3 linked regions of the Callithrix jacchus genome follow. The protein of the gene in region 2 purifies or fractionates together with the protein of the main gene of each other region. This does not show direct contact. Links are inferred from orthologs where the notes say so. Each region holds a gene or a part of one and is shown on either strand. Other genes may lie near its edges. The genes, in order: FAM83H, CSNK1A1L and FAM83D.

What was found.
Region 1: the proteins of CSNK1A1L (region 2) and FAM83H purify together in Homo sapiens (affinity purification with mass spectrometry; 3 studies listed by BioGRID and IntAct, with this or other methods). This does not show direct contact. The link is inferred for Callithrix jacchus from reciprocal best matches to the Homo sapiens genes CSNK1A1L and FAM83H.
Region 3: the proteins of CSNK1A1L (region 2) and FAM83D purify together in Homo sapiens (affinity purification with mass spectrometry; 3 studies listed by BioGRID and IntAct, with this or other methods). This does not show direct contact. The link is inferred for Callithrix jacchus from reciprocal best matches to the Homo sapiens genes CSNK1A1L and FAM83D.

The regions. Positions count from the first base shown.
Region 1 is NC_133517.1:53,882,920-53,892,722, forward strand, and holds FAM83H (protein FAM83H), read left to right. Parts: upstream 1-361; 5' UTR 362-454; intron 455-2,751; 5' UTR 2,752-2,813; intron 2,814-3,007; exon of another isoform or gene 3,008-3,142; intron 3,143-3,519; 5' UTR 3,520-3,534; coding exon 3,535-3,981; intron 3,982-4,754; coding exon 4,755-4,919; intron 4,920-4,986; coding exon 4,987-5,111; intron 5,112-5,353; coding exon 5,354-8,132; 3' UTR 8,133-9,235; downstream 9,236-9,803. UniProt on the Homo sapiens protein: May play a major role in the structural organization and calcification of developing enamel. May play a role in keratin cytoskeleton disassembly by recruiting CSNK1A1 to keratin filaments. Thereby, it may regulate epithelial cell migration.
Region 2 is NC_133506.1:156,314,157-156,323,610, reverse strand, and holds CSNK1A1L (casein kinase I), read left to right. Parts: upstream 1-3,944; 5' UTR 3,945-3,958; coding exon 3,959-4,969; downstream 4,970-9,454. UniProt on the Homo sapiens protein: Casein kinases are operationally defined by their preferential utilization of acidic proteins such as caseins as substrates. It can phosphorylate a large number of proteins. Participates in Wnt signaling.
Region 3 is NC_133506.1:34,345,137-34,355,750, forward strand, and holds the start of FAM83D (protein FAM83D), read left to right. Parts: upstream 1-4,002; 5' UTR 4,003-4,028; coding exon 4,029-4,505; intron 4,506-10,614.

The sequences.
Region 1 (9,803 bases), on a different chromosome or scaffold from region 2:
GGCGTCGGGCTGGCTCGTTTCCTAGCTACCGAGCCGGAACTTCCGCGTCACCCCGACTTCCGGGGCGAGGGTCAGGGGTCAGCCTAGGACTTTGAGCCTGGGGTCAACAGCTGGGCTCCCCGGGGCCGGGGTCTTTGAAGTGAGGGCCTCACGGCCTCCGGCGGCGCTGGGCCGGGGTCCCCGCAGGGTGCGGGCGGGTCGGGGCGGACGGTCGGGGCGCGGGCCGGGGCGCAGGAATGCGGGCGCGCCGCGGGTGGGGCCGCCCCGCCCCCAGGTGCTGCCCGGGCAGGCAGGAGGCAGGAGCGCCGGGCGGGGCGGGGGCGGGCGCGTGAATCAGGCCGGGCCGGCGGGCGGGCCGCGCAGGGAGTGGCTGCCGGACCGACCGGACCGCGAGGCCGCTGGGCGGCGGTCGGCTCCTGCTGCCCCTGTGCCGAGACCCCGCGCACCTGGCCAGGTAGGGCCCCCTCCCCCGGCCCGGAGGGGCGGGGCGAGGTGGGGGCGGGCGCCCCTCGGTGCGGTCCCACCTGGGCCGCCCTCGCGCCAGCACCTGGGCCGGGGCCGCGCGATCCAGAGAGGGGCGTTGGAGCTGGGGCGCGGCCGCGTGCGCGGGGCGGCGGGGGGCGGCTCGGACAGGGGGCGCCGCTGCGCGGATTTGGACGCGAGCGCCCTCGCACGACGCCGGCCCGCGAAGAGCCGATAGGAAGGGGCCCGGGGCCGGGTCCAGCCTGCCCGGCCGCCTGGTCCCGCCCTCGCGGCCTAGTTGGAGTCTGGGTGCTGGGCACGGGCTGGACCCGTCCCTGGGGACGGCCGCCGTGGAGTGGGGTAGCCAGAGTGCGGCCTGGATCCCCGCGTGGAGAGCAGGACGAGCGACGGGAGTGCTGCCTCTCGTGCCCACGTTCCTGGGGTGGGGTGGGCGGATGGGGCCCCCAGCCGCCGCAGTTGCGAACGCGTAGGGTGCGCTGACCACGTTGGGCGCTGGGGTGCCCACCCCGCAAACTATCACTGAGCGACTTCCGGTCTGTGAGCTCCGTCCTCCCCACCCCACCTTTCCGCCTCCTAGAGCCTCCACGCCCTCCTGTGCCCGTTGGAACGGCACAGGCTCACCCCACTTGGTGTAGGAACTCTGGATCCTTCCATGGGGTCCTCCTTCCAGATACCCCACTTACGGCCAGGGTGGAGAGGATGGGGTCCTTAAAGTCCAGCTGAGAGCCCTGACCTCAAGTCACAGATCGGGGTCAGCAGAAGAGTGGATTCGTGCTGAGTCATTGGCCATGGGTGGGTTCCGTGCCCTCCCTCCCTTGGGCAGGCGTTGCTACACAAATGTGTAGGCATGCAGGCCACTGGAGTGCTCCATCTCAGGCTCGGGAGTGGCTGCGGCCCCGTCCATAGCTGGGGAGACACGGACCCATGAAAGGGGACAACACGGGGAATGAAGTCGTTGGAGGAAGCCATTGGCATCACTCTGTGTGGACGCTGGTGTCTGCTGGAGGGCTTTTGGCCACAGGGGCTTCCACAGTCCTGACAGTCCCTGCCCACATTACACACAGCCTGGACACTGTTGACTCCCCTACCCTGTGAAATCCAAAGGGACAGTGGGGGTCCTTTCTAGAGTGCTGCCCCCCCAGCAGCAGGAAGTGCCCCTCAAGATCAGCAGGGCTGTTCCCTCAAGCCCTGTGTGATCAGACACTGCCTCTACAGCCAGGCTGGCAGTGGTGAGTGGGCGCCCCCACCCAGCCAGACAGGCCTGCCCCTCACCCCCATGTGGTCGGCCTTGATCTGCTCCTGGCACAATCAAGACAGTGTGCCCTAACCAGCCCCACATGTCAACCATGAGGACAGTGCCTCAACAAAGAAATGTTGGGACAGCTTCTCCCAGGCCGGTTGGCATCTGGGGCTGGATAACTGAGTGGCACCAGGTATTTCCCACGTGTCAACTCCATGTCACCCCCAGGTGCGCCAGGCAGGACGGCTGCCGCCTGACCTTAACATTCTCAGCCAAGTGGCTCCTGCTAGCACCCATGCAGTCCAGCTGGCCAGCGCCCATCCTGTCAACGCCCCAGGGCACGCTCCTCTGTCTGGGCTGAACTGCCTCCCCAGCCAGGGCCAACATTCAGGAACCTGTGTGCTAGGTGGGGATAGGTGTGCTGCCTCCCTCAGCAACCTGAGGAGCACTGGGATGGGCTGAGTGCTCCCTAGGGCTCTCCTTCCAGGGAGAGGTACCCAGGTAGCTCCATGACCATGTGCACATGGGCCCTGGGCACCCTATAGAGGTCCCCATCAGACACCTTTCTGGAGAGGCCAGGCCCCCTGCAGGGACCCTTTGGAGAACAGGGTGGGCTGTGGGGCAGGCAAGCGTGGATGGTGGTGGGGAGCCCAAGACCTGGAAAGGTCCCTGCTGCTTTGGACTGGGGTTGGTGGGGACAGGACTCTGAGCAAGTAAAGAGCGAGATCTGGGGGCTGTGGAGTGCAGGCCCTGAAGGACCTGTGGGCACCAATGGGCTGTGGCCCAGGGAGGTTTCATCTAAGAGGGACAGTGACAAGAGAGAGGTCAAGGGTGGGCCAAGGGAAGGAGAGGGGCTGGTAGACAGGGACAGGGTCTAGGGGTCAGTTCCAGGGCTGGGTGGTCAGAGGATGGGCTGTGGGAACCCAACTGTGAAACTGAGGATGGGGAGGAGGTGTGGCTGAGGTCCACTAACGAGGACCTCCGCGTTCCTGGAGGAGGGTGGTCACAGCCCTGTTTGCTCATCTTAGGTGAAGCATGGCGTCATGTGGACCCTCAGCTGTGTTGTGCAGAAGATGTACAGGCCAGAGAGGTGCAGTGACTTACTCGGGGTCTCCCAGGCAGTCAGAGAGACACAGGCAGCATGGGCAGACCAACTTGTTCAGTAGGCACAGTGCCAGGGGCTCATGAACATCTTAAGAAAAAAAGCGAATATTGTAATGATGAACGTAGCCCAGATTACGTTTGTCTTTAAACCAAGAATCATGAAAGTTTTAGAGGGTTTGGTTTTATTTTTTGTAGCGATGCAGTCTCACTGTGGCCCAGGCAGAGTGCATTGGCACAATCATAGCTCACGGCAGCCTGCAACGCCTGGACTCAAACGACCCTTCTGCCTCAGCTTCCAAGTGGCCGAGACTACAGGCACGTGCCACCATGCCTGCCTAATGTTTAAAATTTTTTGTAGAGATGGGGTCTTGCTGTATTGCCCAGGCTGGTCTCAGACTCCTGGCTTCAAGCACTTCTCCTGCCCCAGCCTCCCAGAGGAAGGAGAGACAGGACTGAGATACCTGTGCCCCAGCCTGGGATACCTGCTGGTGCCTCCTCAGTTAGGGGTGTCCTAGGGCTGGGCCATCCTCTGTGAGCCTGGCTCGGCTGGTGCCCTGGAAGGCGGCCTGGGCATGGGCTGAACTCCGGCCTAGCCAACTCCCTAATGGCCCCTTCCACAGTGTGACCATGCTTGACGGCAGGAGTGGTCCCAGTGCCCCCACCCCTAGTCATGTGTCTCCCTGCCCCTCCAGGCCCTTGGCCCCGACATGGCCCGTCGCTCCCAGAGCTCCTCGCAGGGGGACAACCCGCTGGCACCCGGGTACCTGCCACCTCACTACAAAGAGTACTACCGCCTGGCGGTGGATGCACTGGCCGAAGGTGGCTCGGAGGCCTATAGCCGCTTCCTGGCGTCCGAGGGGGCACCTGACTTCCTGTGCCCTGAAGAGCTGGAACATGTGAGCCGACACCTTCGGCTCCCACAGTATGTTGCCCGAGAGCCCCCCGAAGGCAGCCTTCTTGACGTGGACATGGATGGCTCCTCGGGTACATACTGGCCAGTGAAGTCAGACCAGGCCGTGCCTGAGCTTGACCTGGGCTGGCCCCTGACCTTTGGCTTCCAGGGCACCGAGGTGACCACCTTGGTGCAGCCGCCACCCCCCGACAGCCCCAGCATCAAGGATGAGGCCCGCAGGATGATCCGTTCCGCCCAGCAGGTGCGCTATCGCAGCTGTAGGGTGGTGGGGAAGAGCCTGTGCTGGAGGCACGAGGGTGGAGGAGACACATGAGCATGAGCAGCTTGTGGGGTGAGCCCTGAGCTCCAGCTGTAGTGGGCAGTCCCAGCAGAGATCTTCAGGGCTGGCAGGCCTTGGTCACCATGGGCTGCAGGTTCTGCACAGTTCTCCTTGCCTGTGGTCATGGCCAGTGCCCAGAAACTCCAGGGCTCTGGGATGGGTGGGCACCCCCACCAGCCTGGGTTCATTGTTCAGATAATTCCCTCTCAGGCCAGCTGAGGGCTTCAGACCCTCACAAAGTAGCTGGCAGACTCCAGAGGGTGCTGTTAAACCATGGCAACTGAGGCCTCAAGTGCAAACGCTAAAGACCCCTGCTTTTGTCTCCTGCCCAGGACAGTGACCCCCTCCTGGACAGTGACCCCCCCTCAGCCCTGACAGCTGCCCTGGGGGAGGGCAGCTCAGCCATCTGTAGAGTGGAGGGAAGATGGAGGGCTCCTTGCAGTGCCCACCCTCATTCAGGGTTCTCTGCCCTGCACCTGCCTCACCCCGCCCCCGTTATGGCCAGCAGCTCCATGCTTCTTCTGTTGGGTCCCTTCCTCCTACCCATCTTCCCAGATGTGGCCCCACTCCCTGGGATGGGCTAGCATGTCTGGGTTTGTGGGTAACCCAGACATCTCCCAGGTGTGGAGGGGAAGCTAGACAATGGTGTGAGGACAGCAGGGGCCTCTGGTCTCCATCCTGACCCACCCCTGCAGGTGGTGGCCGTGGTGATGGACATGTTCACTGATGTGGACCTGCTGAGCGAAGTGCTGGAGGCCGCAGCCCGTCGGGTCCCAGTCTACATCCTGCTGGATGAGATGAACGCACAGCACTTCCTGGACATGGCAGACAAGTGCCGTGTCAACCTGCACCACGTGGATGTGAGTTCCTGGGAGTGGGGGATTGGGGAGGCCCCCTGGCAGAGATCTAACTCCCCTCCCTTCCCAGTTCCTGCGCGTGCGGACTGTGGCGGGCCCCACGTACTACTGCCGCACGGGAAAGTCCTTCAAGGGCCACGTCAAGGAGAAGTTCCTGCTGGTGGACTGCGCTGTGGTGATGAGTGGGAGCTACAGGTGCGCCCATGGGGTTCCCTCGGCTCCTTCTCTGGGGCCTCCTCCTGTTGCCCCAGTGCCACCCTTCCACGCTAGGGCCCTTCTCACCAGGAGCCCTTGCCCTGTAGCCACCTGCACCCCTAGGCCGGGCCCAGGCCCTTACAGACCTCACGTCCCTGAGTCCTCCCCGCCCCAGCCGTTGCCCACAAGGCTGCACTGCCCTTGCTCCAGCTCGGTTTGACTCTGGCCCTGACCCCCCACAGCTTCATGTGGTCCTTCGAGAAGATCCACCGCAGCCTGGCACACGTGTTCCAAGGAGAGCTGGTCTCCAGCTTCGACGAGGAGTTCCGCATCCTCTTTGCGCAGTCCGAGCCGCTGGTGCCCTCGGCCACGGCCTTGGCCCGCATGGACGCCTACGCCCTGGCTCCGTATGCCGGGGCTGGGCCCCTCGTGGGCGTCCCTGGGGTCGGGGTGCCAACGCCCTTCTCCTTCCCTAAACGAGCGCACCTCCTGTTCCCACCACCCCGCGAAGAGGGCCTGGGCTTCCCCTCCTTCCTCGACCCGGACCGCCACTTCCTGTCGGCCTTGCGCCGGGAGGAGCCGCTGCGGATGCCGGGGGGCGCCCTGGAGCTGCACGCGGGGATGCGGCCACTGTCGCGGCGCCTGGAGGCTGAGGCCGGGCCGGCTGGGGACCTCGCGGGCACGCGGGGCTTCTTCCAGGCGCGGCACCTGGAGATGGATGCCTTCAAGCGGCACAGCTTCGCGGCCGAGGGCGCGGGCGCCGTGGAGAACTTCGCGGCCGCGCGGCAGGTGTCGCGACAGACGTTCCTCAGTCACGGAGACGACTTCCGCTTCCAGACCAGCCACTTCCACCGCGACCAGCTCTACCAGCAGCAGTACCAGTGGGACCCGCAGCTCGCACCCGCTCGACCGCAGGGCCTGTTCGAGAAGCTTCGTGGAGGCCGCGCGGGTTTCGCGGACCCAGATGACTTCACTCTGGGCGCCGGGCCGCGCTTCCCGGAGCTCGGGCCCGACGGCCACCAGCGGCTGGACTACGTGCCGTCCAGCGCGTCCCGCGAGGTGCGCCACGGCTCGGACCCCGCCTTCGGACCCGGTCCCCGCGGCCCGGAACCCAGCGGGCCCCCGCGCCCCAACCTGGCCCAGCGTTTCCCCTGCCAGGCGGCGGCCAGGCCCGGCACAGACCCCGCTCCGGAGGCGGAGCCTGAGCGCAGGGGCGGGCCGGAGGGGCGGGCCGGGCTGCGGCGCTGGCGCCTGGCCTCCTACTTGAGCGGCTGCCATGGCGAGGATGGGGGCGACGACGGCCTGCCGGCGCCCATGGAAGCCGAGGCTTATGAAGACGATGTGCTGGCTCCGGGGGGCCGGGCAGCTGCCGGCGACCTGCTCCCCTCGGCCTTCCGCGTCCCCGCAGCCTTCCCCACCAAGGTCCCCATGCCAGGCTTGGGCGGCGGCGGCGGCAACAACAGCCTGGAGCGCGAGGGTCCGGAGGAGCCCGGCCTGGCCAAGCAGGACTCCTTCCGCTCGCGCCTGAACCCCCTCATCCAGCGCAGCTCCAGGCTGCGCTCCTCGCTCATCTTCAGCGCGTCACAGGCCGAGGGCGCGACCGGGACTGCGGCGGCCACTGAGAAGGTGCAGCTCCTGCACAAAGAGCAGACGGTGAGCGAGACGCTGGGGCCTGGCGGAGAGGCCGTGCGCTCCGCGGCTTCCACCAAGGTGGCCGAACTGTTGGAGAAGTATAAGGGCCCAGCCCGTGATCCCGGCGGCGGCGCGGGCGCCATCACCATTGCCAGCCACAGCAAGGCCGTCGTGTCCCAGGCATGGCGGGAAGAGGTGGCGGCCCCAGGTGGCGTGGGGGGCGAGCGCCGCAGCCTCGAGAGCTGCCTGCTGGACCTGCGCGACTCCTTTGCGCAGCAGCTGAACCAGGAGGCGGAGCGGCAGCCAGGAGCCGCCTCGCTCACCGCGGCGCAGCTGCTTGATACACTGGGCCGGAGCGGCTCCGACCACCTACCCTCCCGCTTCCTCTCTGCCCAGGGCCGCTCCACCTCCCCGCAAGGACTGGACAGTCCTCTGCCACTGGAAGGGCCCGGGGAGCGCCAGGTGCCCCATTCTGAGCCAAAAGCAAGCCCCACCTCGGCTTACCCTGAGCGGAAGGGGAGCCCCACACCTGGGTTTCCCACTCGAAGAGGAAGCCCAACGACAGGATTTATCGAGCAGAAGGGGAGCCCCACCTCAGCCTATCCCGAGCGCAGGAGCAGTCCTGTGCCCCCAGTGCCAGAGCGCAGGGGCAGCCTCACCCTTACCTTCTCCGGAGAGTCCCCGAAGGCCGGGCCCACCGAGGAGGGGCCGAGCGGCCCCATGGAAGTCCTGCGCAAAGGCTCCCTGCGCCTCAGGCAGCTGCTGAGCCCCAAGGGCGAGCGGCGCATGGAGGATGAGGGAGGCTTCGCAGTGCCACAGGAGAACGGGCAGCCCGAGAGCCCGCGGCGGCAGTCACTGGGCGGGGGTGACAGCACGGAGGCTGCCACAGGAGAGGAGCGGGGCTCCCGGGCACGCCTGGCCTCTGCCACGGCCAACGCCCTGTACAGCAGCAACCTTCGGGATGACACGAAAGCCATTCTGGAGCAGATCAGCGCCCACGGCCAGAAGCACCGGGTGGTCCCTTCCCCGGGCCCCGGCCCAGCCCACAGCAGCCCCGAGCTAGGCCGTCCACCGGCTGCTGGTGGCCTGGCCCCAGATATGTCCGACAAGGACAAGTGTTCAGCCATCTTCCGCTCCGACAGCCTGGGGACCCAAGGCCGGCTGAGCCGCACGCTGCCGGCCAGCGCGGAGGAGCGCGATCGGCTGCTGCGCCGCATGGAGAGCATGCGCAAGGAGAAGCGCGTGTACAGCCGCTTCGAGGTCTTCTGCAAGAAAGAGGAGGCCAGCGGCTCCGGGGCTGGGGAGGGCCCGGTGGAGGAGGGCACCAGGGACAGCAAGGTGGGCAAGTTTGTGCCCAAGATTCTGGGCACGTTCAAAGGCAAGAAATGAGTTTCCTGGCCCAGCAGCCCAGGCCAGGGTGTCCAAATTGCTGCCATGACCACCCGGAGCCTCCACAGAGCAAGGAGAGCACTGCTCCTGTGCTTGAGTGGTGACTGCCAGGCCACGGCTGCTTGGGGCTTGGCTGAGTGCGCCACAGCTCGGCTCCTGTTGGGGCTCACCCGGCAGCTGCCGTCTGTGCTCCTGGCCTTTCCAGTACTAGGGCTCCAGCCCCTCGCCACCAGTGCCTTTCTTCCCTCAGCATCTTCTCTCCTCAGCATCTTCATCTCTGCACCATCAGCCTTGCATGGCGCGGCGTCTGGCTCCGCCATCTCTTTGTGCTTCAGTACCCCCACACCTTTTTTTTTTTTTTTTTTTTTTTTGAGACCCAGGCTGGAATGCAATGGCGCCATATCTGCTCACTGCAACCTCTGCCTCTCAGGTTCAAGTAATTCTTGTGCCTTAGCCTCCCAAGTAGCTGGGATTACATGTGCCTGGTATCGTGCCCAGCTAATTTTTGTATTTTTAGTAGAGACAGGGTTTCACCATGTTGGCCAGGCTGGTCTCCAACTCCCGACCTCAAGTGATCTGCCCGCCTCAGTCTCCCTACATGGGGGGATTACTGACGTGCGCCTCCGTGCCCCGCTGAGTCCCCTGTCCTCTTTCAAGGGCCCCACGTTTGTGCCTCAATTCCCCATTCTCTGGGGCTCCTTTCCTCCTCAGGGCCTCCTGCTCTCAGGGCTCCCCTCCCTCCCTCCCTCTCTCTCAGGGTCTCCTCCATCCTCAGGGCTGCATTTCCTGTCCCACTTGGATTCTCCTGCTCACTGCCTCCCAGCATCTTTCTCTGAGGCCTGTGCTCTTGCTGTGGGGAAGATTGGGCTGCTGGCTGCAGGCCGTTTGCAAGGGAGGGGTGGAGCCGGACCGGAAGGATGCCCCTTGGAGTGGCAAGGAAGCTGGGCAGGGCAGACGGCTGGGAAGGGGCACAGGGAAGCCTCAGGGGCTGCCTTGGCAGGTCTGCCGTCTCCTCCAGCAAGGCTCTGGCCAGCACTGGGTGAGAGTGGGGAGGGGCACTGGGCTTTGCAGCTCAATAAAACGGTCCAGATGGACAACCTGTGGCCGCAGCCTCATGAGCGTCCCTTGCGTAGGCCCAGCCTGGGCACCAGAAGGGCTGGATGGTGGGGTGCTTGTCTTTGACAGGTGTGGGGCCAGGTGAGGGCAGGGGACAAGGTGCAGCTGAGGCTGATCCCAGCTGTTGAGACGCAGGTCCTGGGCACCCCTGCAGGTGGGAGTGGTCTTTGCCCTCCTGGTGTCCAGCAGACACCCCACCCCACCCCTGTTCTCAGGGCCTTTCCTCTTTGTCACCAACACCAAGAATGGGTCCAGGCTTCCTGGCTTATCTTTTCTTTTTTCACCCCCAGTGAGGAACCGTAGCGGACTCAGAATGATGCATTTTGGCACCACATGCGTGGAAAGTCCCCCATTGTTAGACGCTAGCTTTGTGCAATTCGTGTTTCTGTATGCTGTGTTTTTAAATTGCATCTACACCACCAGGATCTGCTATTTCTTTTCAAAAAAAAATTTTTAATGTAATAAATCCTAAGAGGGAACTGACTTAAGAAACAAGGCCGCTAGAGGCAGCAGTTCGGACTCCAGCAGCTGGGAGAGGAGGGGAAGTGGCCCTGC
Region 2 (9,454 bases):
GAACATATTTTCATTTATCTTGTATTCTATTTAATAGTTCCAAAAGGAGATGGCATTCATGCCAATGGTTTCCATAACAACAATTGCCCACTCAAGTCTATAGCCAAAAAGAAAATTGTTTTTACTTAGAAATTTTGTGCCTCAAAAGACCATTCTACTAAAGTGTCTCCGTTTCCTAGGAAGATATCAAGAAGCCCAGAAAATTAACCCCAAAACTCATACGAGACTAAAACCAATGCCATTTGAATATCATTCCTTAATTGCCAAAAGCTGATGTGGGTTTATAGGCAAGTGAATAAAACCTATTTTGCAGGATACCTTCTAAGTGTTAGGAGCAGACAGGAGTATTTCAGGTGGGAAGGAGAAGTCAGATTGCAATGTGGAAACATTTCTATGTAAGCATTTCTGGTCAATTGCATCGAGATAGCTTAGGGGGTAGAAAAGAGACTTGAACTTCTAACACCAAGTAAATTGTGATTTACTTTCCTAAGTTAAATCTTTTATGCCTGTTTCATTTTTTTGTACTTTCTCTTAAAGAGGGCCACAAAAAAAAAATGAATGAAGTTCAGGACTGACAAAATCTGAATTGGTTGTTAGACAGTACAATACTACCCAGTACAATCCTGCCCAGAATATGTTATTTTACTTTTACTGGGGTCATCTTATAATAATAGAAATTATTTTAGTGGCAATTTTGAAACCAAGGCTAAATCATAGCTTTAAAATGCATTGACAAAATATATAATTAAGGGAAAGAAAGAGAACTACTACCTGCCCAACAGTGAAGCCACCCAGCATTCAGTAGCCTCTGGCTGTTGATATCTATGCAGGGGTTAAAAGTACTGGCTTTGGAGTCAGGCAATCCTGGATTTCCATTCTGAATCCATCATTCCACATCTGTGCCACCTTTGGTGAGTCACTCAAACCCTGCAAATAGGAGGCATTCAATAACTATTTGTTGAACAAATGAATAAATAATGCATCAACCCCACACACTGTCCAGAAAATTTTATCAAATATAGTAGTTCAATTTCCTTACATTTTAAAAACTATTTGCTGCATATCTCTTAGGGAAAAATTTTGAACAAAAGGGTGGGAGGGGATGCAAGAGTTTAAGCAAAGTGTTGTTTGGGTTTAAAGACTACTTATATTTGGTTGAAGAGATTGGAAAAGGTTTCATGGAGCAAACAACATTTAAGGAAGAGCCATGAAAGGTTATTAGAATTAGATCTGGGTGATAGGGAAGATAAAGCAGGCCGGAAGCATTTCAGGCTAAGGAAACAACACCATAAGCCAAGACCCAAAGATGAAAAAATGCAGGGAGTATGTGTTCAGGAAAGAGTCAGCAGCCCCACTGGCTTGTGGTAAGAGAATTCATTGGAGACTGGACTGGAAGCTATTCAGGGTCATGCCACCACTTCGGTTACTGATCCTCCCCATTCTGGAGATGCTCACAACTTCCCTGTCATGAAGGTTCACCCAGCCACCATTATAAGTTACACTTGACTTTCTTTACAGGCAGTGCCTTTATTTAACGAGCACAAAGAAGTATAGGACTTAGCAAACGATTTACAAACTATCATTAAACTATTCTAGTTCCAGTGTTGAAAGGGGATTTTTTTTTTTAATTTCAAGTTTTTGTCGAAGTATGGGTTATCTGTAACGTTTTTAATTACTGACTTCTCTCACATAGAGATCATTTGAATTTCAAGGTTCATGTTGAAGCCATTGACTGGAAGGCTGAAAGGGAAGGAAGCATAATGGGCACTGCGTTAACAACATAAATTTTGTTCTAGGTCATTAGAAGGGAAATTGTTCTCCAGGCAAATTTCAACAAAGTTGGATAAGTAAATGAAAGAAATGCCATTCTAGTTGATACAATATAAAAAGTAACTGCCTTGGGTCAAACTTCAGTTTCAAATTGGCCTCTGACATTTGTCTGTAGTGTGGTCTTGGGCAATTCATCTAACCTCTCTATGCCTTGATTTCCACTTGTATAAAACGAGAAGTACAATCATAATAATAAAACTTGTCAGCAGTATATTGCATTACTCTCCACCTGTGAGAGGAGTATGTATTTTCACTCCACTGTCTTTGGACCCGTCCATGTTTTTGTCCAGCGGAATGTGACATTTGTCACTCCTTTTATTATGAGAACAGCATTCTCCTAAGGCGGTTCCTCTTTCAGCCTACATTCTAGAACAAAGAGGACACGGGAAGCAGAGATGCAGCTGATCTATGGCTTACATAAATCCTAAATTATAAATAAACTTTGTCATTGTAAGCCACTGAGATTTGTGGGTTGTTCTTGCTGCAAAGCCAAGTAATATACTGTGCTACCCACCTCACATATTTGTCCTAAGTGGAGTTTTTTAATGTTTTAAAGCAGTTCATAATGTTCTATGCCCATCTATGTCTCAAACCAGCTCCTTCTCTCACCATTTGAACTCAAAGCATTCTATGAAATTCTGTTGCAGGTCAGAAAAGTTAGGAACAGCACTATATGAGACAGTAAGTGGGAATATCTACTTTCAAACCTCCACCACCCTCTCCTGCCCTTCTGCCATTGGCCCCCAAATTCATTGCTACTGCTCCATTAGGATTAACAGATTTTTTTAGATTAAAAATTTTTTTAGATTAAAAAATATAGACTTTTTCTGCTAGTGCTGGTCCCACTTCTTCTGAGAAAATGCTCAGAACTGCCCGCAGCTATTTCTTCTTCATATTTTGGTTACATTTGACTTGAATGCTTCATTTAGTCAGTTTTGCCAGAACTCCTCTGTGAAATCCTATTTGAACTCAAAGCATTCTATGAAAAAACTTCAAAAGGATGGCTTAAAAAAAAAAGGCATTTCAATTTAACGAGCAGTAAGTGACTCACCTAAACTCAATAAAGAAGCAACCACTGAGATCGCAGAGAAAAAGCTCCAGGTGGCACCACGACTCGCATTAAACCAGAGAGAGACGATGGCTAGGGAAGTAGGCGGGACAATGATTGGGCCTGAAAACCAGGAATCTCTGCTATAAAAGCCTCCCACTACTGCACCGTGAAGTTTAAAGCCGCTGAGCTCCGGCCAGGCGCGATGGCTCAAGCCTGTAATCCCAGCACTTTGGGAGGTCGAGGCGGGTGGATCACGGGGTCAACAGATCGAGACCATCCTGGTCAACATGGTGAAACCCCGTCTCTACTAAAAATACAAAAAATTAGCTGGGCATGGTGGCGCGTGCCTGTAATCCCAGCTACTCAGGAGGCTGAGGCAGGAGAATTGCCTGAACCCAGGAGGCGGAGGCTGCGGTGAGCCGAGATCGTGCCATTGCACTCCAGCCTGGGTAACAAGAGCGAAACTCCGTCTCAAAAAAAAAAAAAAAAAAAAAAAAAAAGCTGAGCTCCGAGTCACATAAGCCTACGCAGTTTTGAATTCCAGCTCGCCCATGTTCTCCTGCAACCTTAGGCCCCTTACCTGAGACTTAGCCTTTCTTACCCAATAACTCAGGGAAACAGCAGCTACCTTACAAGACGAGCAAGTCCGTGTGAAACGGAGTAAGATGAGTGGAACACCTAACGGAAGACTCAGACAACAGCAGCTGCTCTAAAAATTCTCCATTTGTGGTTGGTTCAGCGGAGGAACAAGATGGCGGCGCCGGCGGCGTGACGGGGCCCTGGGGCCTGCAGCCATTGACTGCGGTGGCGGCGGTTTGGCAGCCCCAGCTCGCCGCGCCGCGTTTCTCCGCCTGCGACCCCTCCGCGACAGCGAGGCGGCCACAGCCGTCCACAAAGAGGTGGAGGCCAAACCTGGCGATCGCGAGGAGCCCTCACAAACTGCCACCTGGTGGAGATCCGGCGGCGCTGCGGGGATCAGGCTGACACCAGCCGACTCCAGGCCGTCTCCTGACGCCCTCACCGTCAGCCTTGTGCGCCTGAGAGCCCGGAGGCCAGCCTCCATCTCTGCCCCTCAGGATGATGAAAAACAGCGGCTCCAAGGCCGAGCTCATTGTGGGAGGGAAATACAAACTGGTGCGGAAGATCGGGTCTGGCTCCTTCGGAGACGTTTATCTGGGAATCGCCACCAGCAACGGGGAGGAAGTGGCAGTGAAGCTGGAATCTCAGAAGGCCAAGCACCCGCAGCTGCTGTATGAGAGCAGACTCTACACGATTCTTCAGGGTGGGACTGGCATCCCCCACATGCACTGGTATGGCCAGGAAAAAGACAGCAATGTGCTAGTCATGGACCTTCTGGGGCCCAGCCTCGAAGACCTCTTTAATTTCTGTTCCAGAAGGTTCACCATGAAAACTGTACTTATGTTAGCCGACCAGATGATCAGTAGAATTGAATACGTGCATACGATGAGTTTTCTACACCGAGACATTAAACCAGATAACTTCCTGATGGGTACTGGGCGTCACTGTAATAAGCTGTTCCTTATTGATTTTGGTTTGGCCAAAAGGTACAGAGACAACAGGACTAGGCAACACATCCCGTACAGAGAAGATAAACACCTCATTGGCACTGTCCGATATGCCAGCATCAATGCACATCTTGGTATTGAGCAGAGCCGCCGAGATGACATGGAATCCTTAGGCTACGTTTTCATGTATTTTAATAGAACCAACCTGCCGTGGCAAGGACTAAAGGCTATGACAAAGAAACAAAAATACGACAAGATTAGTGAGAAGAAGATGTCCACGCCTGTTGAAGTTTTATGTAAGGGATTTCCTGCGGAATTTGCCATGTACTTGAATTACTGTCGTGGGCTGCGCTTTGAGGAAGTCCCAGATTACACGTATCTGAGGCAGCTCTTCCGCATTCTTTTCAGGACCCTGAACCACCAATATGACTACACGTTTGACTGGATGATGTTAAAACAGAAAGCAGCACAGCAGGCAGCCTCTTCCAGTGGGCAGGGTCAGCAGGCTCAAGCCCAGACAGGCAGTAAAACGAATAAAAAGGATAATGTGAAAGATAACTAAGCATGGATGAGGAACGGAAGAAGCAGAGCAGATGATTCAAGCAGCGTTTGATTCTTCCCACTCTAGAAGTTGTAGTTCATACGTACACTAGCTAGTGGCTGTGGACAATCATTTCCTTGGTGTAAAAAACTTTATTTCTATATAAACCGACTCCAGGGAGCGCTGGTGATGCTGTATCCCAAGGTGTAGCTGCTGGAATTGTGAATGTTATCTGAGGTAGTGAAACATGGTGTCTGGTTTTCTGTTGCACGTATTCAAGTAGAAAAGTTAAATGGTGGGCACACATGAATTGGGGACGACGTTGTGCATATGCCAATTTTTTGTTAAAACCTTTTAGTCTGAGCTAGACTACTTTGAGATCTCATTGAAGAACAGTCTTCAGCCACAGCTGCGAAAGTTGTAAATGCTTACAGTTGAGCATTCTTAGGCTTTCTCCCTCCCTGGGGTTTGCAGATTGTTCACTTGAAAAGCATTCTTAAAACGGCTGGCTTCTTGTCTGCAAACCAACTGATCTGGTAACAACCAAAAATTCCAGTTTTGAGTATAGGAAAGATTCTGCCTGCTTACCTGTGAAGACGTAAGAAAAACTTAGTCACTACCAGATTATCTTTAGAATTCCACATTAACTCTATCATGTTCTCGGTATTTAAAAAATAAAAAACAACGAGAGCAACCATATTTGTCACAGAAATGTAGTTAACAGCCTACAACTGAACGTGTATGTATGTTGCTTAGATAAATGTAATCACTGTAAACTCCGATATGATCTAGGATTTTGTTCACATTTTGAAATGGGAGTTTTTATGTTTACACGTTCATCAAAAACTAGAAACTTTCTGTAAGGAAATGATACTTTTTTAAACAACAATCAAAAAAATGCCTTGCTGACTCACTAGGAAATAAAAATCTCCCCAATTTTTCGATAGTCAACTTCAAGGCATTTGTTACATGATATTCCTGTGCAAGTACATTTTGTTTCACGATATAACTTTTTCCAATGTTTTTATTTCAAAATAACTTTTCTGTATGAAGGGGAAAGGCATTCTTTCATTTTTTCTTTTTCTAATTACTTGTGGTACAATCTCTAGTACTCAACCAGCAGAACTTGGTATTGTTACTTCTTCCACTGACTAATAGCTGGGCTAATTTCAAACAAGAATGCAAGCATTGAAGAGTTTGACTACAAAGCATTGTTGAAAATACTTGTGTAATGGCTATAAGCGGTTGACTTTTACCCTTGGAGAGCACACTGTGTGAGTCTCTGTGAGCACTGACCCTCCCTAACCCCCATCTACTTCTCTAAATTATCTGTGTGTACGTGCTCTTCCTCTCAACCTTTTTGCACATTCTTTTCTTTTTCTCTGACGCAAAACATAGGAAAACTCATTTTCCTTTTAATTTTTTAAATGGTGTAATTTATTCACTTATAGCATGTCAGGATAAATTAAAAGAACATTTATCTGAAAATGCTGCCAGGAGCCTGTTGTGTAAATGTGGGCATTTTGTAAAATAACCTTGAAATTGTAAATTGCCACATGTTTGGTCAGATTGTGTCAGGTTTCATTTATTTTTTAATTTTTTTCATTTGAAAACTATTTCAGCAATAATTAATTCTATGATTACCACATTCTGCCATTAACGGATATATTAGTACTATAATACTGAAGAAATCTTAATAAGCACAAATTTTGGGGGTGGGAAGCTTCCTGGTTTCTTTCTATCCACCCTTGTTAAGGTATTCATTTCTTAGCTATTAAGCCGTTGGTTCTTTTGCCAGAAATCAGTCTCATAAAGCTATTTTTGAGTATAGTTTATATAAAAAAAAATTTAGCTTTGTTAGTAACTTTTCCAAGCTGACCTCCCTCTAGCAAGATATTTTTCAGTGCTTTTATTCAGTACGCACTTATCCTGAAATATTTCTGTATTCTTGCCATTTGAAAAGGTTGTGGCATAGTTTGTCTGCAATGAAGCTGCAGATTTAAAACTACTGTTAGTTTTGTAAAACAAAATATAGGTGTTTTTGTCCTGGTATATTATCATTCCATTTTTCTTCTAGATACCATTCATTGTCTTCACAGTTCACAAAAGAAGAATGTGAAATTCAGTGAATGCTGTTAGTGGTCATGCCAAGAGATGAATCTCATTTCACCAAAATTAAATCATGTTTTTCACTATAAGGTGATGTAAGGTGAAGACACATCACTGTGATATTGGAAGACCTCACCACTTAAGGCTCCACAGTGGCTTACTCAGCAGAATTCTAGGTTACTGCTCTACTTTGTTCACCCATTGGAGAATGCACTTTTTTAAATGTTGGAAGATGGCCATTCCAACTACTGTTGAATCTTTCGGTTTGGGGGAAGGTAAAACAAGAAAATAAAATGAAGTATACATGGCTGGGCACAGTGGCTCATGCCTGTAATCCCAACACTTTGGGAGGCTGAAGCAGATGGATCACCTGAGGTCAGGAGTTGCAGATGAGCCTGGGCAACATGGTGAAATCTTGTCTCTACTTAAAAATACAAAAACTAGGCGGGGCGGTGGCTCAAGCCTGTAAATCCAGCACTTTGGGAGGCCAAGGCGGGCGGATCACGAAGTCAAGAGATCGAGACCATCCTGGCCAACATGGTGAAACCCCATCTCTACTAAAAATACAAAAAAAAAATTAGCTGGGTGTGGTGGCACGTGCCTGTAGTCCCAGCTACCTGGGAGGATGAGGCAGGAGAATTGCTTGAACCCGGCAGGCGGAGGTTGCAGTGAGCCGAGATTGTGCCACTGCACTCCAGCCTGGCACCTGGCAACAAAGCAAGACTCTGTCTCAAAAAATATATATATATATACAAAAAGTAGCTGGGTGTGGTGGTGGACGCCTTGTAGTCCCAGCTACTCTGGAGGCTGAGGCAGGAGAATCGCTTGAACCTGGAAGGCAGAGGTTGCAGTGAGCCGAGGTCGCATCACTACACTCCAGCCTGGATGACAGAGCAAGACTCCGTCTCAAAAAAAAAGAGTAAACATGAAGGGAGACACTGGTTATCTCCTACCATATGAATGTGCTTATTCTTTTATGTCTACAAATAGATATTTGGAGATTTACCTTTACTATGATTTTTTTATCAACAAATATTTTTAAGATACTTTCCTACTTCTACAAATACTCACAAAGACTTATTAATGTTTCAAGCAGAGCGCACTGCAATAATTATAAGCTTAATTCCATTATAGTAAAAATATCAAAAGGAGGTTTTTTTTGTCAAAAATTAATTTTCCTTCTTTGATTCTTTGTCATTAACCTTCTTCCATTGGGAACCTACTAGAGAGTAACAAAAGGAGCTATATTCTGCCACATGAAGACAAAAGACAATAATATATTTCATATTTTAAAGCCAAAAGTTTAAAAGAAACAGCAGGCACACATGTATATTTATGTACTTTTTTCCTTAACATATTTATAGCTTCTCATAGGTCATGCACACTGAAAGAGTAGCGCACATCTGAAATGTGCAGAATTCACACATTTTCCAAATAAAGTACATCATCGGTTCTGTATTTTTTTGTCCTCCAACTTTGAAATTCCTAGGAACTACAAAAACAGGGAGAGAGAAAGAGGCCCCCCCACCACTCAAGAGGTCATATTGAATGATTCCAAGGAATAGTAGAAACTTGTACTGAATCCAAGTTTTTAACTGCCAAGTTTTAACTCCTGGCTACAGTTCTCAACATATGACATAATTTAGAAACTTGGTTTAGGCACAGGAGAATCATAGGACTTAAAACACTATGTCCCTCAGCATGTAAAATATTTATGGAAAATCCAGGCAAGTAATAAATTGTAAAGAAACTAAAAGGAAAAAAATCTTGCGAAATGGCAGCTATGACTTTTTAAATCAAAAAGGGGAAAAGAAGAAAGGATGGCTCTTAATGTATAAGTTGAGTGGAAACTTCTTGGGTCTTTCACAGCCTTTCTATTCTTCTGCCATCTTCTAACATCCGTGATTCCTTAGGGCCATTATGAGACCCACTAGGAGGATGGAGCAGCTGAGTATGGTGTCACGTTTCCAACCAGAGATAATCACAGAAGTTTAGAAATAAGCATTTTCACCCCGATCCAGCAATACCAGCACCACCACTCACAATACTTTCACTTGCATATACATACCGTGAAAGAAAAATTTCCACTGCATTTATTTGAATCTATCTTAAAGGTCTAAGGTTTGACTCTGAAGTTATAGATGAAATAAAGTTTTACCTGCAAATCTCATCTTTACCTCTAAAAATCTCATCTGGTCAATCTTTGTTATCCCTATTACGGAAAGAGAAGAGTGATAAACACAAAAACAATTATCAAATTATACAAAATGATTTTCACCTGTTCATACTGATGTTTAGCCTTAGACATATTCTGATGCCCAAGCACCTGTCTGTGCATGGTGGTTGTTCTCCATGCTTAATAGGCCATAGTTATGTTTCAGTACAGTTCGTTCACAT
Region 3 (10,614 bases), about 120 Mb from region 2:
CATTAGATTAAAGGAGGCCACTTCCAAAGCAGGCACTGCATGGCTCACCATCATATGCCCCAAACAATTGAAAGTTGACAACTACCACCAGGCTGTGAGTTTCTGGCCAGTAGCTTAGGGAAGCTGAATAAACTCTAGGCCCAGGGCTACTGAAGACTTCAGGATAGAATTCTCCATCAAATATGCAGCATAAGTAAAACTGCTCTGTACTGTTTGATCCATTTCCAAGGGGCTTAGAACAGTTAACAAGGGTGTTTCCCCTGTCCTGCCCCACCAGTTTACTGGCTTTGTAATAACATGAGACCATTTTGGTTGCTGGTGTCAGATACCTTTTCATCCTGAGCTCTCTCGCCTACCTGCTCTCTCTCCTAGAGCAGGATACTGGGGTACTTTCAAGAAGGGTGCTCCTTTTAAGATGCCCAGAAAGACTGTATTGAACCCTCGCTATTTGTAACTTGGGGATGGTCTCCCCTCCCCCAGGGCACATAAGAGCAAAAGGTCCAGTGGTCAGTGGATGACTCTGTAAAAGTGACCCCTTGTGCCAGAAGCTATAGCCCTCTCCCTGATAGGAGTCTCTTTTTGGCCAGAGGGCCTGCTTCCCATGGGCATTGCAAGTGCCACCGTGCGGGGCCTGGCTCTGCACACCCAGGAAAAGTCTGCAGACCCCCAGCCCTCCGCAATAATTCACCAGACCAGAAGCCACTGATGTACAGAGAACACTTAAAAAAATGTATTTTATGTGAAAAAAAGTTAAAACTCTGTATACTGTATCAGCAGCTTTGTGTAAAAATGGCAATCAAGAGAGTCTAATATATTTAAAATTTTTTTAAAAAAAAATCCTCGCGGATCTTTGATATCGTACTGAAGTAACTTCCAGGTAGCCCCTTGCCACACGGCAATGCTGGGCCTCGGGTCTGAAACCGTGGCTCAGCCACATCCCAGAGGGGGCACATGTCCCTGGAGTTGCTTCCAGCTACCAAGGCCTGTGACAGAAATCGCTGTTAAGAGTTTTTAATTAAAATTATTAAATTCCTTTTAATAACACCTGCTAGTGTGACTGATTATTGCTATGAGCTCACTTGAACAGTGCTGACTTAAATTCACAAAGAGGAGGTTCCTGGATTAGAGGGTGGGTAAGGGCGTCTGATCTCTTCCCCCTGACTCCCCCATCCCTGCGGAGGGCTCTCGCATGAGACCCCTGAAGGGAGTTCTGGGGGCTCAGACCTGGAGCAGATGTCTCTCCAGACTGGGAGATGGTAAAAGCTGATGACTTCAAGAAAAGGTAGGTGGTTGGGAATGACCTTCATTCTGTCAAATATTCTCTTTGAAATTAACATGAAGCCCTGTAATAGCATATATTTATTCCATACATGTTCCAAGGTTTTCTTGATTTATTTTTATTTTTATTTTTATTTTTTTGAGATGGAGTCTCACTCTGTCATCCAGGGTGCAGTGGTGCGATCTCTGCTCACTGCAACCTCTGCCTCCCAGGTTCCAGCGATTCTCCTGTCTCAGCCTCCTGAATAGCTGAGATGACAGGTGCTTGCCATGACGCCTAGATAACTTTTTGTATTTTTAGTAGAGACAGAGTTTCACCATGTTTGCCAGGCTGGTCTCAAACTCCTGACCTCAAGCGATCCGCCTGCCTTGGCCTCCCAAAGTGCAGGGTTACAGGCGTGAGCCACTGTGCTGGCCCCTGATGACATTTATATGTAACAAGAGTGCCCCTCTCCTTTGTCCTGTTGTTGGAGTGCACTGATGTGTCCGGTACTTTCCCCCCTGCCCCATTCCAGTTCTTCCTTTCAAGTGCTTATGCTCCTGGCCATTCTCATTTTTTACTGTGAGGCATAGAGAAGCTGTGGTTGCACAGCCTCAGACCACGGTTCTTGGTCCTTGTCCCCTACAGAACTTTGTTGGTGTTTTGAAAGAGGGTGAAAAGTGTGCTCTCTTGTTGCCTCCTGGACCCTGGATACTGGAGCAGGGACACACGGAAGTCCCCACACTTAGTCCTGAGAAACTTCACAAATGGATGGAAATGGGGAGAGGAGGGAAAGAGGGAGAGGCATTGCTAAATAATAATGGTAACTTCTCACATTTATGATGCTCTTTTCGTTTACACAAAGAAGATAAAGGCTGAAAATTGACTGTTGGATTTAGCTGTGTGGAACTCATGATGAACCTGACAAGGGGTTTTGGTAAAGCAGTGGGGGTTTTAGCCTGATTGAAGAGGGCTGGAAGAGAACTGGAGACAGCAACTATAGACAACTGGTTTGAGGGTTTCTTTTTCTTTTTTTTTTTTTTTTTGAGTCAGGGTCTTGCTCTGTCACCCAGGCTGGAGTGCAGTGGTGCGATCATAGTTCACTGCAGCCTGAAACTCCTGGCCTTAAGTCATCTCCTGCCTCAGCCTTCCCAGTGGCTGGGACTGCCATGCACTAAAAGTTAGACACACCACCATGCCCGGCTAACTTTTGTATTTTTTTGTAAAGACAAGGTCTCGCTATGTTGCCCAGGCTAGTCTCAAACTCCGAGACTCAAGTGATCCTCTTCCCTCGGCCTCCCACAGTGCTGGGATTACTACAGGTGCAAGTCACCATGCCCAGCCATGTCTGAGGTTTTATGCTGCAAAAGTAAGAAGAGAAATGGGGAGGTTTAGAGGAATGTAGGATCAAGAGAGGGCTGTTTTAAGATGAAGATGTTTCAATATGTGTGTAGGCTTATAGAAATGAATCAGTAAAGAGGGACGCTGATGTTCCAGGAGAAAGAAGGAGGTTGCTGGAGTGATGCTGGTGAGTAGAGGGGCTGGAAGTGCCCAGGCAGAGGAGTTGGGGTTGGATGGTGCAGGAGCAGTTCATCAATGCCCTGTGTATGGGCAGAGATGCAGACAGGAAGGTAGACTGGATGGGCGCATGTGAAAGTTCCCTTCTCACTGCTTCTGTGTTCTCAGCGACTAGGAAGCAAGCTGTCAGAGAGGAAAAGGTAGAGAGAACGCGGGAAATACAGCCTAGCAGGCAGCAAGTTTCGCTCTTGTCACCCAGGCTGGAGTGCAGTGCTGTGATCTCAACTCACTGTCACCTCCATCTCCCAGGTTCATGTGATTCTCCTGCCTCAGCCTCCCGAGTATGGGATTACAGGCATGCACCAAGACACCCGGCTGATTTTTGTATTTTTTTGCAGAGTCGGGGTTTTACCATGTTAGTCAAGCTGGTCTCGAACCTCAGGTGTTAGTCAAGCTGGTCTTGAACTCCTGACCTCAGGTGATCCGCCCTTCTCAGTCTCCCAAAGTGCTGAGATTACAGGCGTGAGCCACAGCATGGGCCCTGTCTCCTAGCAGGCAGTTTTAAGGATCATGAATTGAAAGCGCGATCCGTCAGTAAGCATGGTTATGTTCTTTCTTTCTCCAGCCCTGTAGGGCTGCAGCGGTGCAGGTGGAAAGTAGCGTGTAACCAAGGTAGGTGGGGGTTTTACAAGTCAAAAACCAGTGAAATGAGAGAAGGCTACCCTAGGGTGTAATCAAAGGAGAGTTCCTAATACAATGAACCGGTGTTTTTTGAATGAATGAATGAATGAATGAATACACAGTTAAATGCAGGGGATAAAGGCGATATGGTTGGCCATGCCAAAGCTCCGAGAGCCTAGGAGCAGCGTGGCCAGCGTGTCTGGGAGCCGGCACCAGCCTCTTGTCGCTGCCTTGTGAGGCCGCTCTGTGGGACGGCCGGCAGGGGGCGTGTTGGGACGGCGAGGAGCCCGGCTGTCCCGCCTCTGTACCTGCTCTGCTGCCCGCCCCGCCCTTTCAAGTTTAAATTCCACTTAACAGCCCAGCATTGAGAGCAAAGGCTCCACTGTGCCGGCAGCCAATGATGCATCAGGGGGCGGAGCCGCCTCGCCGCTATTGGAAGGAAATCAGCCAATGGGAGAGTTGAGGCGGGGAGGTGCGGCCAATGGCGCGGGCCTGTTTGATTCAAAGGTTGCCTATAAAGCAGGCCCTCACGCCGGCTTTTGTCCGAGGGCTGTCGCGTCGGAGCGCCGCTATGGCTCTGCTGTCTGAGGGCCTGGACGAGCTGCCCACCGCCTGCCTGTCGCCGTGCGGGCCGCCCAATCCAGCCGAGCTCTTCAGCGAGGAACGGCGCCTGGCGCTGGAGGAGCTGGTGGCCGGCGGCCCGGAAGCTTTGGCGGCCTTCCTGCGACGCGAGCGCCTGGCTCGCTTCTTGAACCCGGATGAGGTGCACGCCATCCTGCGCGCGGCGGAGCGGCCGGGAGAGGAAGGTGCGGCGGCGGCGGCCGAGGACTCGTTCGGCTCCTCGCACGACTGCTCGTCCGGCACCTACTTCCCCGAGCAGTCTGACCTGGAGCCTCCGCTGCTGGAGCTCGGCTGGCCGGCCTTCTACCGGGGCGCCTACCGCGGCGCCACGCGCGTCGAGGCGCACTTCCAGCCGCGCGGCGCGGGCGAGGGCGGCCCCTACGGCTGCAAGGACGCGCTGCGCCAGCAGCTCCGCTCTGCGCGCGAGGTGAGCGGCCCGCCCGGGCCCTGGGTCGCACGGGAGACCCCCTTCGAGAACGGGAAATTGAGGCCTGCTGGGAGCGCGGGGCGGGGCCGCTACCTCCTCTGCGCCCTGCCGGAAGCAGGGACCCCGACTCACCTCACTCTGCTTGTCTCCCCCGGATATTCCAGGCCACTCCTCGTGGCAGGGGATAGTGGGAAAGCCTCGGTTCCCAAGGATGCGAATTGTGCCCGGGTTCCATCTCCTAACGTTCACATCCCTGAAGGGGGGTACCAGAAGTACTCCCAGTTCCAAATTTCAGTTAAAATCAAACTTGGAAAATTGCCGATTTTCCTGTCAGCCAACGCTAGATCCCACTTTCAGGAGCTGCTTAGGAGACTCATTACCAAAGAACTTACGTATGGAAAGTTCCGGAAAGATGGTCTCCAGAAGCAACTGTGGGGCATTAGGAATCAGTAGGAATCAATTGTTACTGCTAATTATTTTTACAGATCTTATGTTGTAAAAAGCAGATCAACACAGGATTGGCAGGCTGAGAGCCCTGCTGCTCTTTCTACTGCCAATGACTGGAGGAGAAGTTTGCCACTGTGAATCAATATGGCAAGAAGTTTGTTTTCCATAGGCTGGGTCTTGGTGAGATTTCAGTGGCCTCCTCAAATGCAGATACATTTGCGTTAGATCGGCCTCTGTATTCTCAGTGGGTTTTGGTCCTATTGTCTGACACTTAGTGTGGCATGGTCTTGGGTGCAGTGGAGGTCTTGTCTGCTTGCCAGCCTCGATGAAGCTGCAGCGGGGTGCTGGGGATCAAGGAGGAAGAAGGCAGCCTGCAGGTGGGTGTGGCAGGTAGAGTGTGGTGGCAGACACCTTGGTCTGGAGCTATAGTCAGTTTGCTTGCTGACTGGCAGTGCCCAGCTTCCTGGCTGGCTGCCTGTGCCAGGGACATGGCAGATAAAGCCCCAACCATGGTAAGACTTGTTAGGGCTGGTACCTGAGTGTGTCTGACTGTGGGTGAAGATATCAGTGCATTCTTAGGTTGACATGTCGAAGTCCAAGCCCCAGCTCTCACCAGTGTTCCTAGTGTTCTCTCCCTGACTGGTGGGGTTGCAGTGGTTATGGATACAGTGACCTAGTGCCTTGCCTTTGAGGGAGTGGCTGCAGGTTGCAGCTAGGCTCTTACCAGCCCTGTGGTGTTTTGGGTGGGCCGAGGGTCTTTTTGATGCCACAGACATTTCCCTTGCGGGTTGAGTGAGCAGATTTAAAAAGATGGAAAAGGCAGAATTGTGTAGGTGTGCACTCCCAAAGCTCACTTCCAGTAGAACTTGAGCACTTGAAACCTGAGAGAAGTAAAGAACTGGTCTGTATAGTGAGACCTGTGGCTTGTTCTGGTCTTTTGCCCAGCCCAAAATTTTAGTGATAGCAAAGGGGCACCAGAACCAGAGGCCAGAGGGAAACTATTAACCTCACGTGCTGGCCTGAGGAGGGGGTGGAGCCTGGAGCTCAGACTCTCTCTCATCCCACTGGCATTTTGTAACGCTGACATTTCCAGATAGAACCTGCTGCCCTAGTCCAACTACCCACAATTCCCTCTGAGATGCTGTATTTGGAACCTTTAAATCCAATGAGTATTGGCTGGGTGCGGTGGCTCACACCTGTAATCCCAGCACCTTGGGAGGCGGGGATGGGCAGATTAAGAGTTTGAGACTAGGCTGGCCAACATGGTGAAACCCCATCTCTACTAAAAATACAAAAATTAGCTGGGTGTGGTGGCGTGCGCCTGTAATCCCAGCTACTCAGGAGGCTGAGGCAGGAGAATTCCTTGAACCCGGTGGTGGAGGTTGCATTGAGCCGAGATCACTCCACTCCAGCTCTGGGCGACAGAGCAAGACTCCGTCTTGGAAAAAAAAATCCAATTAGTATTTTCAGTGTATCTGATAGATGCCAAATTATTTGCTTACTCAGTGCCTGCTGTGTATCAGACACTACCAGGGCTGGGGCCACAGAGGAAGGCATCAAATTTGCCTACACTTGAGGATGGACAGTGTGCTGATAGGAAGCAGTGAGGAGGTTGCTATAGGCACTAGGAAAAGGGCTAAAGAGTCTCCAGAGTGGCATTGAACTCAAAGCTGTGTGGGGTGAGGGATGCTGAAATGAGGTGGGTTTGAGACAGTGCTGAATTTGAGGCCCCAGAGACTGTCTCTTTGGTTTAAAAACAACGACAAAAAAGCCAGGCATGGTATTGTGCACCTGTAGTCCCAGCAACTCAGGAGGCCGAGTCAGGAGGATCACTTGAGCCCAGGAATTCAAGGCTATAGTGCACTTTGACCACGCTGTGAATGGCTGTTGCAGCTCCAGCCTGGGCAACATGGGGAGACCTTGTTTCTTTTTTTTTGTTTATAATTTTTTTTTTTTGAGATGGAGTATTGCTCTGTTTCCCAGGCTGGAGTGCAGTGGCACCATCTCAGTTCACTGCAAACTCTGCCTCCCAGGTTCAAGTGATTTTCCTGCCTCCGCCTCCTGAGTCACTGGGATTACAGGCACACTCCACCATGCCTGGCTGATTTTTTTTTTTTGTACTTTTAGTAGAGACGGGGTTTCACCATGTTGGTCAGGCTGGTCTCAAACTCTTGACCTTGTTATCAGCCCTCCTCAGCCTCCCGAAGTGTTGGGATTACTGGCATGAGCCACTGTGTCTTGCCCTGACCCTGTTTCTTAAAAAAGAAAAAAAAAAAGAATACTTTCTACTTGCCAGGCACGGTTCTAAGTAATCCCAAGGAAGGAGCAATTATCATCTTCATTTTTCACCTGATAGAACTGAGGCATAGAGAAGTTAAATAGCCCCAAAGTCAGGCAGCTAGACAATGAAGGAACCTGTACTCAAATTGAGGCACAGAATATCTGAACCATGTTAACCACCACACTCCCTGTGGAGGGGTCAGGAGCCTGTGCTCAGGTGGGGAGAGGTGACAGCGCAGATCTGGTGCTATCACTGTGTTAGGGCCAGCCTTGTGGACAAGGGAATGTATGACACCTTGACCTCATCCTTTGAAGTCCAGTACCTGTGACAGTGAGGGCCAGGAAGGTACAGGTCTCAGGCTGCTTCAAGATGAAGTGAGAAGCTGTTCTGCATCTGTGTTCTGATGGCAAAGGTACTTAATGATGATATGATTGAGCACTTTGAATGGGTCAGTGCCTGTGCTAAACCCTTGACCTATGAATTACCTCATTTAACCCTCCCAACCCTGGGAGGAGGCCACAATTCAGAAAAGAGCAGGCACAGAGAAGTTAAGTAAGTTGCCTGAGATCACACAGTTAGCATGGGACAGAGTTGGGCTCAAGCCCACGTCTGTCTGGTTCTGGCTCTGAAGCTCACACTTTTTTTTTTTTTAAGATGGAGTCTCACTCTGTCACCCAGGCTGGAGTGCAGTGGCATGATCTCAGGTCACTACAACCTCCACTGCCTGGGTTCAAGTGATTCTCCTGACTCAGCCTCCCGAGTAGCTGGGATTCCATGAGCACGGTACCAAGACCAGCTAATTTTTATGTTGTTTTTGTTTTTGAGATGGAGTCTTCCTCTTGTCACCCAGGCTGGAGTGCAAATGGCATGATCTCAGCTCACTGCAACCAAGATGGAGGCTGTAGTAAGCTATGATCATGCCACTGCACTCCAGTTTGGGTGACAGAGCAAGACCTCATTTCTAAAAAATAAAACACAATTATATATAGTATGGCTTGAATACCAGCTGGCTGCTTACCAGGTGCTCAGCCGAACTTCACCAAAACTGGAGGAAACTGCTTTGAACCTTTTCAGAATGCATGTTTGCTTCCTAAGGAAGTTTTTGGATAATCTTGAACTATACAGGATTTTTTCCCTACATACTTGCTCAAGATCCACCCCTCTTCCACTGTATCTGTTGATGACTCATTCAGCTTTTTGCCTCTGTTGCTGTGTGAATTGGGATTTGACTGGGCTGTGGCCCCCTTCCTGGAAGGGCTGCGTAGCCTCATTTTGGGAACGTGCTTATGAATTGGCTGTCTGGCTATTCCTGGTTTGTTGAATGGGAGTTCAGTGGCAAAGCTGCGACCACCAGGGGGTTCTGATTCCTCAGAGTCACCTTTCTTGCCAGTGCCTATTCCTTATGCAGTTTTGTTCCAAAAAGGCCACTTTTGCTATGACCTCACCCTTAGGCATCCTCTTGATAACCCAAATGTTAGTAGTGGGGATCATTGCATTCCCAGAGAGCCCTGCCAGGAGAAGTAGCAGCTAAGGAATCTGTTGGAGGCCCCGGCATGTACTTGGATGTGTCTGAATTAAGAGTCCTTCCTGCTGTTGCACAGCTTTCCTCTGCATAACAGTAGAACCTGTGTGGTATGATGATCAGTTTCTGTTCCAAATGCTCATGTCAGCCTCAAGCAGGGCTTCTCAACCTCAGCACTATTGACCTTTAGTGTTGGATAATTCTTTGTCCTGAGGGGCTGTCCTGTGCATTGTAGGATGTTGCGTAGCATCCATGGCCCCGATTCACTCGATGCCAGCAGCATCCTTCACGCCAGGTAGTAGTCATGATATTCAGTGTCTCCAGAAGGAGAAACAGGGAGTTACTGATGAGTGGTCACAGTTTCCATTTGTGGCTATGAAAAAGTTTTAGAAACATAGTAGTGTTGGTTGTGAATGTAATTATTGCCACTGAATTGCACACTTAACAATTATTAAGATGGCGAACATTTTACCATGATAAAAAATGTCTCCAGACATTGCCAGATGCCCTCTGGGGGCAAATCCTCCCCAGTTGTGAACCACTGGCCTAGAAGTTCTCACTAGTGCATCATTCTGGGATGTTACCCATCAGACTGAAATGTTGCTACTAATTTATCCCTTCCTTTTGATTTCATGGGTCACGTTAAGGATTTTAGAATTTTTAAAAATATTGTGGTAAAAAATACATAGCAAAATTTACCATTTTAACCATTTTTAAGTGTACAGTCAGTGGCATTAAATACATTCACACTGTTGTGCAGCCATCACTAGTAGACATCTCCAGAACTATTTCATTTTCCTAAAATGAAGCTCTGACACACTAACTCCTTGTACCCTTTTTTCCCAGCCTCTGGCAATAACTATTCTATTTTCTGTCTGCCATTTCTGTTTTTCCTTTTTTTTTTTGGTGAGACAGAGTCTCACTTTGTTGCCAGGCTGGAGTTCAGTGGAGCAGTCTTGACTTCACTGCAACCTCTGCCTCCTGGGTTCAAGCGATTCCCCTGCCCCAGCCTCCCGAGTAGCTGGGACTACGGGTGTACACCACCACACCTGGCTAATTTTTTGTGTTTTAGTAGATATGGGGTTTCGCCATGTCGGCCAGGATGGTCTCCATCTCCTGACCTGGTGATCTGCCCGCCTCGGCCTCTCAAAGTGCTGGGATTACATGCGTGAGCCACTGGGCCCGCCCTCTGTCTGCCATTTTTTTTCCTTTTCCCTTAGCATCCAGCAGACAGTAAGGCAGCTGCAGGATTCTTCTCTGACTTCTTTATGGATAGAGGATACATTATTTCAGGAAAAAAGAAAGCAAAAACTAAAAATGTAGTGCATATATTGGCTTTAAAAACTTAATGCAAATGATATAACCCCTGGAAGGGAATTTGGCAATACCTAGCAAAATTTCAATTATATTTACCCATTGATATAGCACTTCCATTGCTATTTATCTATCCCAAAGATATATCTACAAAAGTATGAATAGATGTAGACAATAGGCTTTGCATTGCAGCACTAATTATAATAGCAAAACACAGGAAAGAGTTCAGGTATTCGTCAATAGAGGATGAGCTCATTGTGAATAAATCCATTCATCTCTGCAGTGGAATATCCTGTAGCTCTAAGAAGGAATGAAGACTAGCTCTGATATGCAATGTCAAGAATCATACCAACCAATGTGGTAGTCACATGAGACTATTAAAGTTTATGTGGATTAAAATTAAATAAAGATAGTTCTGTCATCTCGGAAGGTTCTGTTGGGCCACACTAGGTCTAGAACAATTTGTATTCCATGCTACCTTTTATCCATAGGGGATATGAACACACATATATAGGTATATACGTAATATACTTGTTTAAATAAAA